Linked DNA regions of Drosophila melanogaster. The protein of the gene in region 1 purifies or fractionates together with the protein of each later gene. This does not show direct contact. Each region holds a gene or a part of one and is shown on either strand. Other genes may lie near its edges. The genes, in order: CG5646 and Arglu1.

The links.
Region 2: the proteins of CG5646 (region 1) and Arglu1 purify together in Drosophila melanogaster (affinity purification with mass spectrometry, with the first as the bait; one large-scale study listed by BioGRID). This does not show direct contact.

What each region holds. Positions count from the first base shown.
Region 1 is NT_033777.3:27,558,666-27,563,246, reverse strand, and holds CG5646 (uncharacterized protein), read left to right. Parts: upstream 1-1,927; 5' UTR 1,928-2,026; coding exon 2,027-2,072; intron 2,073-2,276; exon of another isoform or gene 2,277-2,319; intron 2,320-2,371; coding exon 2,372-2,484; intron 2,485-2,732; coding exon 2,733-2,973; intron 2,974-3,032; coding exon 3,033-3,147; intron 3,148-3,209; coding exon 3,210-3,606; 3' UTR 3,607-3,868; downstream 3,869-4,581.
Region 2 is NT_033779.5:9,934,119-9,940,174, reverse strand, and holds Arglu1 (arginine and glutamate rich 1), read left to right. Parts: upstream 1-2,040; 5' UTR 2,041-2,169; coding exon 2,170-2,517; exon of another isoform or gene 2,518-2,664; coding exon 2,665-2,937; coding exon of another isoform or gene 2,938-3,171; exon of another isoform or gene 3,172-4,605; coding exon 4,606-4,689; intron 4,690-4,751; coding exon 4,752-4,919; 3' UTR 4,920-5,408; downstream 5,409-6,056. Other genes in the region: CG4619 (uncharacterized protein), read right to left, coding at 1-1,211. UniProt on the Drosophila melanogaster protein: Post-transcriptional regulator of gene expression; modulates splicing and premature cleavage at cryptic polyadenylation sites of its own pre-mRNA through binding and regulation of the U1-snRNP complex.

The DNA.
Region 1 (4,581 bases):
CTCCCTGCCTCCCCTCATTAGCCCACAATAGCGATCAGATCGAATCCTATAGCCCCCGAGCGTTAAGTCCTACTGCCTTTCAAAAGATTCCAAGAAGAACACCAAATATAATGAAACACGAAGAAATGTTAAAACTCGAACAGGCAGCACTTATCGACTCGACCTGTTTGTTATGCCCATCTAGTAACTAACACCAATCTCAGATCCTAACTAGCAGATCCGAAAAACGAATAGGACCCATCTCTAGTTAAAGTTGATGTTTGCCTAGGATGCCAATCAGTAAAACAAAAAAGAAGAACATATTCAAATAACGCAAGTGTAAAAACGAAACCAGAAATCAAGTAAGCAACAAGCATTAGATTAAGATTAATGAAAAATGTTGAAAAAGAATGCCTAATAAACGATAAAAAGAACATATTGTATAAGTCATAAGTGGTTCAATGATTATTGCCTCTTCATCATCATTTCGTTTGTTTTGTGATCAACACCTTTGTTGCACTCTGAGTTAATCTGTTTAGTCCGCATTCAAAGTAAAAAAAAAAAATGGTAACTTTAACTATAGTTTCTATTATTGTATTTATATGTATAAACAAATGGAGCATGTTAATTCGTAACTGCGGAAGCTGCTTAGAGCCAGCTGAGCGAAGAGGTTTAAGCAAATGCAAAACTCGTTAAGTACTTTTAGAGAGAAAACCCTGTACTAACTAAGATGTGTACTACAAATAAAGTCGCATTAACAACGTTGCATCCGAGATCAGAAGAAACACTCAAAAAAAAAAACAAAAAACACTTAACAAATGAAAATGCCGAACAACGGATCAGCTAGCCAAGGCAGCAACAATAAGAGCTAAATAGTTAAAGCGCTTAAACAATTTAAAAACTATGGATACTAACAATGAAATGCGAACGGATAAATATATATGTAAATCATGTATTTTCTTATGTTCTAGACTTGTAAAAAAAAAAACCTATCGTACACACGCTATATTATTACGTTTTTTAAACTTTGAGTTCTAGTTCTGTGTAGGCCGGTGTGCCAGGATTTCGATTCTTTTTTCCTTTGGTTAAAGGCACACAGCACCCACACCACCCACAATCGCACACACACTTACTCACTCACACACACACACACGACTAAACAAAATCTTATGCTGAGAGTAAATATAAAGAGTAAATTATAATTACACAAACATAAATGGGAATAAATATATATATATATAGGTATATATAAACAGCATATATATATAAAAAAGGAAAATTATATATGGAGAAGCATCGGAAAAAAGAGGTTTAGTTGATTGCTTTCGAATCCAGGCAGAAAGTATGCGAAAATAAAGTAAATTAACTAACTAATGGCGAGAAGCAGCAGAAAAAAAAATAATTAAAATTGCATGGCGCAGGCAAAAACAAATATTTAGCTGCAAGCAGAATTAACCAAAAATGATTAAAAACCAAGTAAAAGATGAAACAAAAAAAAAACACACAAAAACTGAATGAATGAGAATGATGAGCAAACGGAGAGAAAAGAAGCAAAGAGATCAATCAACAATAAAAAATTAATAAATACAAAATAATTAACACAACGTGTTTGATTTTAGATAGGATTCAAAATAGTATTTTTAAAATTAAAGGATTTATATTCCTTTGAACTTGAAGTGAAAAGCTAAGAAACTTTCTACACTTCTTTTTCCTATGCGTAGGAAAAATTCTAGAAAGTTTGGTTTGAAAATTTTAAGTTTAGAACTGAATAGTTTTGAGCTGTATACCCACAAGATATCATTATGCTTAGCAGAGTTACTTTTTCGTTAGAAAGTATCTTTTTTTGAAAAGTGAGCATTCGGTTTGCCTATTTTTTAGCAATCAGCTTCTGTTCGCTGGGAAAGCTGGCGAAATCGCAGAGCTTTGCTGCCGAGCCACAAAAGCTGTGCACTGCAGTTGGTTCGCTGCCGTCGTGAGGTGCAGTTGGAAAATCGCGAGAAAAATCAATTTTCCGAAAACTCCAAGCGTTCGCTGAAAATCCGCATCCATGAAGTGGGAGAACTACTGCGACTTTGTGGCCGGATGCTTTGGTGGTGAGTGACGGAGCGGCAGAGCTCCAGCTGGTATTCATCCCAATTTGGTCAGAACTCTGGGCCATGCATGACGCAATGCAGCAGCCGTGTGGCGATAGGCCACTTGTTGAGGGGAACTGCCTCAGTCCCGGCGGAAAACGGGCGCCATGGTCAAGTTCACGTGCGGCGCCCCTGATCCATCGGATTCTTGGCAAGCGGCTGTCGGCGGCGGCGGCCGTTCAACATGTGTTGTTTAACTTTGTGGCCACAATTTTAATTAATTTATGCTGCATTCTTGATTTTTATACTCTGATATTCAGGTGCCTGCGGGGTGCTGGTGGCCCACCCACTCGACACGATCAAAGTTTGGCAACAGGCCTCAAATTCATCCGTTGTGACAGCCATTCAACAGATCTACAGCAGAAATAATGGGGTAAGTTTGGAAAGAAGGATTGCGTCTAGTTGGAAACTTTTTTTCAAGGATACAAATTTTATGTGAAATATTTGGATAACGATGTACATGTCGATCTTCCAATCTCCTTTTTTATTCATAACTTTTCAAATATTTAAACCAGCCAAAATGGCTTTGTCCTATTCTTAATCCCGACTCCGACTGGACGCAATCCCTTAGAGCGCCTAGGTGGGTCGTGATGGGTTTAATCGATCAGCATCGCCTCAAAGGTCAACGGCTTCTACAGGGGCATGTTCTTCCCGTTCATCTCGACGGGAGCGATCAACTCGCTGCTTTTCGGCATCTATGGAAACCATCTGCGGCAGCTGAGAAAGGTGTGCCACAGTGACTACCAGCGGGAGCAGCTGGAGTACCACAACATGTTCCTGGCGGGCTCTGTGGCGGGATTCGTGCAGTCCTTCATCGCCTGTCCCATGGAGCTGATCAAGGTTCGCCTGCAGACAGCCACTTGTGGGTTCTACTTGATTTTTTAATCCCAAAATGGAGGATTAATTTGTGAAATTCCGTAGATTACAGTGACTATCTGTATGGCCAGAGAAGGACCGCCTTTGGCACGTTCAAAAGGATACTCAAGACTGATGGCATCTCGGGGCTCTATCGCGGCCTTTTGCCCATGATGTGCCGGTAAGTTAGTCCAGGTGGTAGTCCAAAAATACATGAATCTTTCAATGGTCGTTTGGTTACAGCGACGTCCTGCCCTATGGAATCTATATGCTGGCCTATCGCCAGGGCGTTGACTACATGGACAGGCGGGACTTTGTGCGCCGGCGACGCAGTCAGTCGGACGGATCCAGTGTGAACCTGCTGGTGACCACGCTGGCCGGCGCCTGGGCGGGAGTCATCTCGTGGGTGTGTGTCATTCCGTTCGACGTGGTCAAGACGCTGATGCAGGCGGATGAGAATCACAAGTACCGGGGCATCTTCCATTGCGTGCGGGTGCAGTACAGAGCCTACGGCTGGAGGAGCATCTTCCGCGGCAGCTGGATGCTGGTGGCGCGGGCGGTTCCCTTCAATGCCGCCACTTTCCTGGGCTACGAGTATGCGCTGGAGTGGTGTCAGCGGTGGAACGGCACCTACGTATGACCCAGGCAGTCTGGTGGAGATTAGGAGCCTTAGTTTGTATGCTGTGTACATTGTTGTCAACTGAGAATGAGTGTGATCGAAAAATGCAAACCTATTCTATAATTTACTTCAATGCTGTTTAACAGCACTAACAAATAGCTTTAATTGCCTCACTTTGTAAACGTTTTATCGTATCAACACGGGCTTAATATTTTCGAAATGCACCTCAATTTTGTAAGCTTTAAAATTAAAATGATGACAAATTGCGTCCATGAACAAGGTTATATTGCTGAGTATTTGAGATCTGCCTCTAAAGTTAGATCTAATTTTTTTAAAAATCTTTGGTTTGAACAATAGGAACAAGTTTTTGAATTTAGAAAACATTCAAATCGGTTTGAGTATGCGCTATCCGTGTTATCAACCATTTCTATGAATGTTGAAAACATCGAATTGGTGTGACCGCACTGCCAGAAGGCGAGTGTGTAACTCCGCAGTTTATTAGCACTGTTCTGCGAACGGTCACACCGAGTCGAACGATGAACAACAACACAACATCGCGTCGCGTTCGTTAAAAAACAGAGATAAACGCAAATCGAAGTAACAAAGTGTACATACAGCGTGCTATTTTTCTTATTTTCATCGTGCTGCACTTAATGACCCATGTCCAGTGAATATATGGGCAGACACATATGGTCAGCGCAAAAACGCAGCGAGTTGCAATGAGCAGCCGCCGAAAAAAATGGCAGGAAAAATTGTGCAAGTGAATTAATGTCGAATTGCGCACAATTTAATCTTAATTTTATTAGTGGTAGTATGTGCAGTTGTTTGTGGAGCCGCGAAAAGTTCGCAAAGTTCGCTGATTTTGCGAACGGGAGGCTCGCAATCGAAATAACGGTGTACAAGAAGACGAAGAGAAAAACAAACTGAAAAGCAGAGCAAACGGAAAGCAGAAAGACCAAAAGTCGGACAAAAACGCAACAGAGTGAATTGTGTTTC
Region 2 (6,056 bases), on another chromosome or scaffold:
TTTTGGGCAGCTTTTAGTTCTTCAGCTGCATTAATCAGATCCTTAGAGTAGTGACCCAAAGTGCACAGAGAGAGGCAGGTGTCAACAAGGTTGTCAGGGAAATATTCGTACTCCCCATGATCCAGCTTGCGCAGGGCGGTCAGTTCCAATTGTCTGATTTCCTCAGGAGTCAATGCACAATTGAGTTGAGCGCTGGCCCACAGGAATGTGGCCAAGTCTTTGGAGCGCAGGTCTCCAGGCTTGAGAAGAGTCATGAGTCGTTTTACGACGACAGTTAGGCATTCATTCTGATCCCAAAGCTGCTCGGCAAAGAATGCAAAGATATGGGCAAGTCCTCGGGGTTCAATATGGGTTATCTTTACAGGATCCAGACAGATATCTTGCAGGTGCTGGCACACTCGTTCATCTTTGACTTGCTGCAGACGCAATGCCTTGACAAAGGAGACCAGCAAGGCATCGCTTCCGGTGTTTATCTCCAGATTTAATATGGCATTAACGAGTCTTGCTTCGTATGCCGTTTTCGCCTCACCGGTTACCAAAGTTGAGGTTTTGTACGCCGCATTGCTGACCACGGCAAGGTCCATTTCATTTAGTTCAGGCAAATGCGTTTGTAGATGCTCTTCCAGGAGTTGCTGGAATTCCTCAGAAGATTTGGCCTGCTTCTTTTGCAATCCCATATAGAAGCACACCTGAACGAATCGCTCCTTGTTGCCGCGAAAATCCTCCCTGACCAGTCGTTGCATGGCTGCTTGGTAAAAATCCAATCGCTTTATCCAACTTGGTATGAGGAATAGAAAGGAGTAGAGCGTCTCGAGCACTGTGGCGGTATCCATCTTGTCCAGCTGTTTAGCCGCATGGTTATCCAACGTGTTAAGCGCAGTCACATACATGGGTACAGCGGCATTGGAGCGATAGCTGGATGCCTGGATGATCAGGGCGGGCAATTGGGCTGCATCCGTTTTCTCTACCGTCCGCTGAAAGTACCGGTCGTCCGTGATGGGAAAGAAGTCAGAGTACCGGACCGTCGTCTTGGGCAACACGTGATCCGAATCCCTGTAGCGCTCCAGTGCAATGTGCTTGGCGAAGCGGGTCAGCAGTGTGCCGGTCTCATCGCTGCTCCGCAATACATCTCTGGGCGTAAGGGAGGCGTAGGTTCTGATGGGACATCCCAAGTTGGTGACGCCGGCAAAGCGGCGAAGCAGGGCGTACATATCGGATGCACTTCTTCTCAATTTATGTAATGAATTTACAAAACAACGTGCAAGTCCGCAAGCATACGTTAAATCTGCATTCGCTTTTCAACACTGACTAATTTCCTCTCACACGAAGTGAACTACTAATAAGCAAAAGAGGGAAACAGCTAGAAAAGCACCACTGTTATTGGAGACTTTCGAGCACTGTTCAAACACCTGTTTCGGTTAATTGATAGCAACAACATGGAAAAGGCAGCTGGTTTTGTTATTTTTCGCCGCCTTTGTGGGGAAATACAATACCTATTGCTGAAGGCTTCCTACGGCTCCTTCCACTGGAGTTCTCCCAAGGGACATGTGGACCCAGGCGAGGATGATTTTACCACTGCCCTGCGAGAAACGAAAGAGGAAGCCGGGAAAGTGCACAACGATATATCTTTTAAAACATGCTTAATTTCAAAAATGCTCTCATAGGTACGACGAGAAGGATCTGATCATATACAAGGACACTCCGCTGACCCTGAATTATCAGGTGCAAGACAAGCCGAAGATTGTTATTTACTGGCTAGCGGAGCTGCGGAATCCCTGCCAGGAGCCCATTCTCTCCGAGGAGCACACCGACCTCAAGTGGCTGCCCAAGGAGGAGGCCAAGCAGTGCGTCGGCTTTAAGGATAACCAAGTCATGATCGACAAGTTCCACCAAATGATTTTAGATCAAAACAAACCAATGTGAACTGAAAACAATTGCCGGTCTAATGTTGGGCAACACAGAAATTAAAATAAAAAAAGCACAGAAAATACCGTATCAAAAAAAATACCAGAATTATGTCAGGCCAGTATGCCAACGTTGTGCACACTGTTTTAAGGCATCTGTGAAAATTGCTCGAGAAATTAAATTCGCTCTCATTGATTTGTTGTGGCAGCCAAGTTAAGCCCTTCGACTAGCTCGAAATCTTATACAATCACACAATCCAGCACCATGGGCTCCCGTTCACGTACACCCAGTCCGTCGGGCAAGCGACGCCACCATAAGAGCAAGCACAAAAAACGCAGTAAGTCCCACCACGACCACGAGCGGCCCAGCACAAGAACGGATAGAGACAAGTCCTCGGAGGTGAACAACCATGGACGACATCGCGAACGGGACAGGGACCGCGAGCGGGATAGACACCGCAGCGACCGACACACTGAGCGCGACTACCGTCACTCCCCCTCGATCCTGAAATCCCGAAAACGCTCCAGCTCGTCGAGCAGCGACAGTCAGTACTCCGAGCAGGAGTCGCAACGTAGCAAACAGAAGCGCAGCCGCTTTAAGAAGCTGGATGAGGTAAGTGGATAGTGTCCATAGTCTGTCATCTTGAGCACTCCATGGGTACGCATTCCATACACGCATTTTTCCGGGATGGACACTCATGCTGCGCTTATGATACAACTGTTTCGATGAAAGCAACTAAACTATGATCTACCATTACAGCAAAACCAGATGCAGGTCGAACGCCTGGCCGAGATGGAGCGGCAGCGTCGGGCGAAGGAGCTCGAGCAAAAGACAATCGAAGAGGAAGCCGCCAAGCGCATAGAGATGCTGGTAAAAAAGCGCGTCGAGGAGGAGCTAGAAAAGCGTCGCGACGAAATCGAACAGGAGGTCAATCGACGCGTTGAGACCGCCAAGGCTGAGATGGAGCGCGAAATGATGCTGGAGCTGGAGCGGCGGCGAGAGCAGATACGCGAAGAAGAACGCCGGCGCGAGGTAGGTGCTCGTATTCAGATTCCGCTGGACGACTGCTGCTATCACTGTCAGAAACACGTACACAATGCCACATTTACCGTACACTTGAATAAATCCAAAACAGCAGTTCAAACAGTCGTCTCCACCACGTCACGCGAAATCGATCCGGCGGCGCTCTCAGTCGCGGCTCACTGGCTGTTCATCCATCAACCCATGTCCCATCAGCAGCCTCCCCGTACTAGATTGCTTGCATAACCCTGGGCCAAGGGCGCCCACTAACCGGGTACATCACTAACCAGTCGCAACTTTTCAGAGCCCTCCCCACATGATGCAGCAAGCTAAATGCTGTGAGCCGAGATGAGAACGCCACGGCTCGTTTTGCCCCTTTTTTTCTTCTTGCCAATAATTTTGTAACTTTTTATTTTTCCTACCAAAAAAGCCAAAATGACGACATTGCCAAGTGTCGCATGTGTCAAAGTTTTGATGCCCATTATTGCAGACTTATTGCATACTCTTAGCTTCATCTTTTGTTCGTTCCTACCCACATACTGTATCATTTTAATTTTTTTGGTATTGGTTCTCGTAACTCGTTGTTGTTGTTATTGCGCGCAAATTCCGCTTCAGTAGGCCCGTGCAACGAACGTGCTGCTCTTGTCCCGTATGCAAGTGGGTGTGTGTGGCTGTTTTGTGATCCTTACCCGCAAAACACTCGCGTGCACTCCACGTTGTGCCGCCATGCCGGAAGTTGAGCAAGCCTGCTGCCGAGCGATTGGTCCACGGACGCATTTCCTCCACACCAAACAATAAATATCAAAAGAATCAAAGAAATACCAAAGCCCAGCGAAGTGGTATGGTGTCCCTAAGTTAGTCCGGGTAGTTAGGCACTCTAGTTGTGGGCGGGCCGACTGAGTTTAGTCCCAACAGTACGCTGCATGCAAATCAAATCACTGCCACTTTTGATAACGGGTGAGTTTCCTACGCCAGCGATGTGTGATGTTGCCCAGCAGCCGTAAGGATAACAGGCGAGAAAGGACGGCGCACAGACCCAAAGACTCAAAGACTCCCCCCAGGGTTTAGCTCTATAGAACTCTGTCTGTAAGAATTTTTGAAACCGGATACGCATTGGATTGCCACTTATTTGTGTTTAAGCTTTTTGTTTTTGCGAGCAAATTACATATGTACGTCTGGAATAGCGAAAAACTCCACAAAAATAATCCCAAATCGAAAATCTGCAAAAAAAAAAAAAAAGAAAACCATAAATTAACACAAATTTAGCCTATTTACTGGAATAATGACCTATTTAAATAGTAAGTAGCAACAATAAAAAAAAAAAAAAACCAAATGAAGACCAACCATTTAGCAAATACTAGTACATTTGTTTATGTTGTGTGCTCCTTTATTGTAATAAACTAAAAGAACAACCTACTTTAAACATTCTTATTAGACACTACTAAATGTTTTACTTTCTACCGAAAATATTCTTTGTAACTTATTGTTAAACATAAAACTAGATTTTAACTGCCTTTGCAGCTCATCAAGCAAAAAACTGCAACCACAAACGTGCGTCGAATTCGTCGCACAGTTTGCATCGCTGATGTCAAGAGACTGTTTATTTCTATAATTAGCATTAAGCTTCTCGCTAAAGGATCGATTTTTGTTATTAATCGTCTTCTTGTTTGGGTTTTATAGGAGGATGAAAAACAAAAACGCGAAGAGCTCGAAGAAATTTTGGCCGAAAACAATCGCAAAATCGAAGAGGCGCAAAGAAAACTGGTAAGAATTCATAGCAAACAAACCATATTATTATGATCATAATTGATTTCTTTTTTCTTTAGGCCGAAGAACGGTTAGCAATAATCGAGGAGCAGCGCCTTATGGACGAGGAGCGGCAACGCATGCGCAAGGAGCAGGAGAAGCGCGTCAAGGAAGAGCAGAAGGTCATATTAGGCAAAAACAATTCCAGGCCCAAGCTATCGTTCTCCCTGAAACCGGGCGCATTATGAGGAGCGTAGGCATCAGTCTGGTGACCGTCGCACCTTTTCTTGTTAACAGCTTTTGCTTTTTTTTTTACCTCAGTGGCTATTTGCCTGCGACACAGACCATGCACTCGTTTTCATTGTTGTAATTGTGTTCTATATTATTTTTATTATTTTAAGGACGAGCTGTGGTGCTGAGAGCAGGCAAAGCACAGCCAATAGATTCAACGTTTTCAAAATTGCCAATTACTGAACACATACGGCTCTATATAGTACAATACGCTAGCGATTTACTTAACCTTTTCTACATAAAGAATTCATATGTGAGACAAATGATTATGTGTAGTGCGTCGTATTGTTGTCACAGCTGAACGATTAACAAAAAAGAAGAAAAAAAAAAAAAGAAAACCAAAAAGATGTCAGTGAAATACATATGTAATCTATTTGCAATTTTTTGATATTTCAAGAAAACATAGAAATCAGCTGAAATCGATAATAAAAAACTTTAGAAATGCCAAAAGTTGAATATTATTATATATAATCTGTATAAGCTTAAGTGTTTCAGATTTGCAATGCAAGAGCTACAAGTGCATTAGCGAGCGAATTAAGCACCATTCGCTTAGTAAATTTGACAGTTTTGCCAAAACATACGTGCGCTTTTCAGCTCCTCCATCCTCCACCGAATCCCCCGATCCCCTTTGGTATCGGACACGATCTAAGCCAGTGTACATGTCGCTAAGTAGACACAACTTATTATTTATAGAGACTACTTCAATTTATATGTCTCTTGTTGCTGATTGGGTTGGGCGACGCTGGACAGCGGGCGACAGCCGGCACGCCCGCGCGTAGCATGGAACTGGAGGCTGCGATCAGGTGGAGAGGCGGCGGTGTCCGATCTGTCCAAGTGCGTGCGTGCGCAGGAGGCGGGGATGCCGAATTGGTAGGCGACTTCACTCAGAGTCGTAATGTGGTTCTAAGCGAATGTGGCGCAAGATATGCCTGTTATGCATACGCACCAAGGTACTCCGCTCCAACGAAACTCCACCTGACCCCCACCTCGACTTGACCAGCTTATTACTTCATATCGAATTTGGCAACGTGTTCGCTAGCGAGCCTTTGTAGCGTGAAAGGCGAAGGCAACGGCACCGCCACCTGACCAGCCCA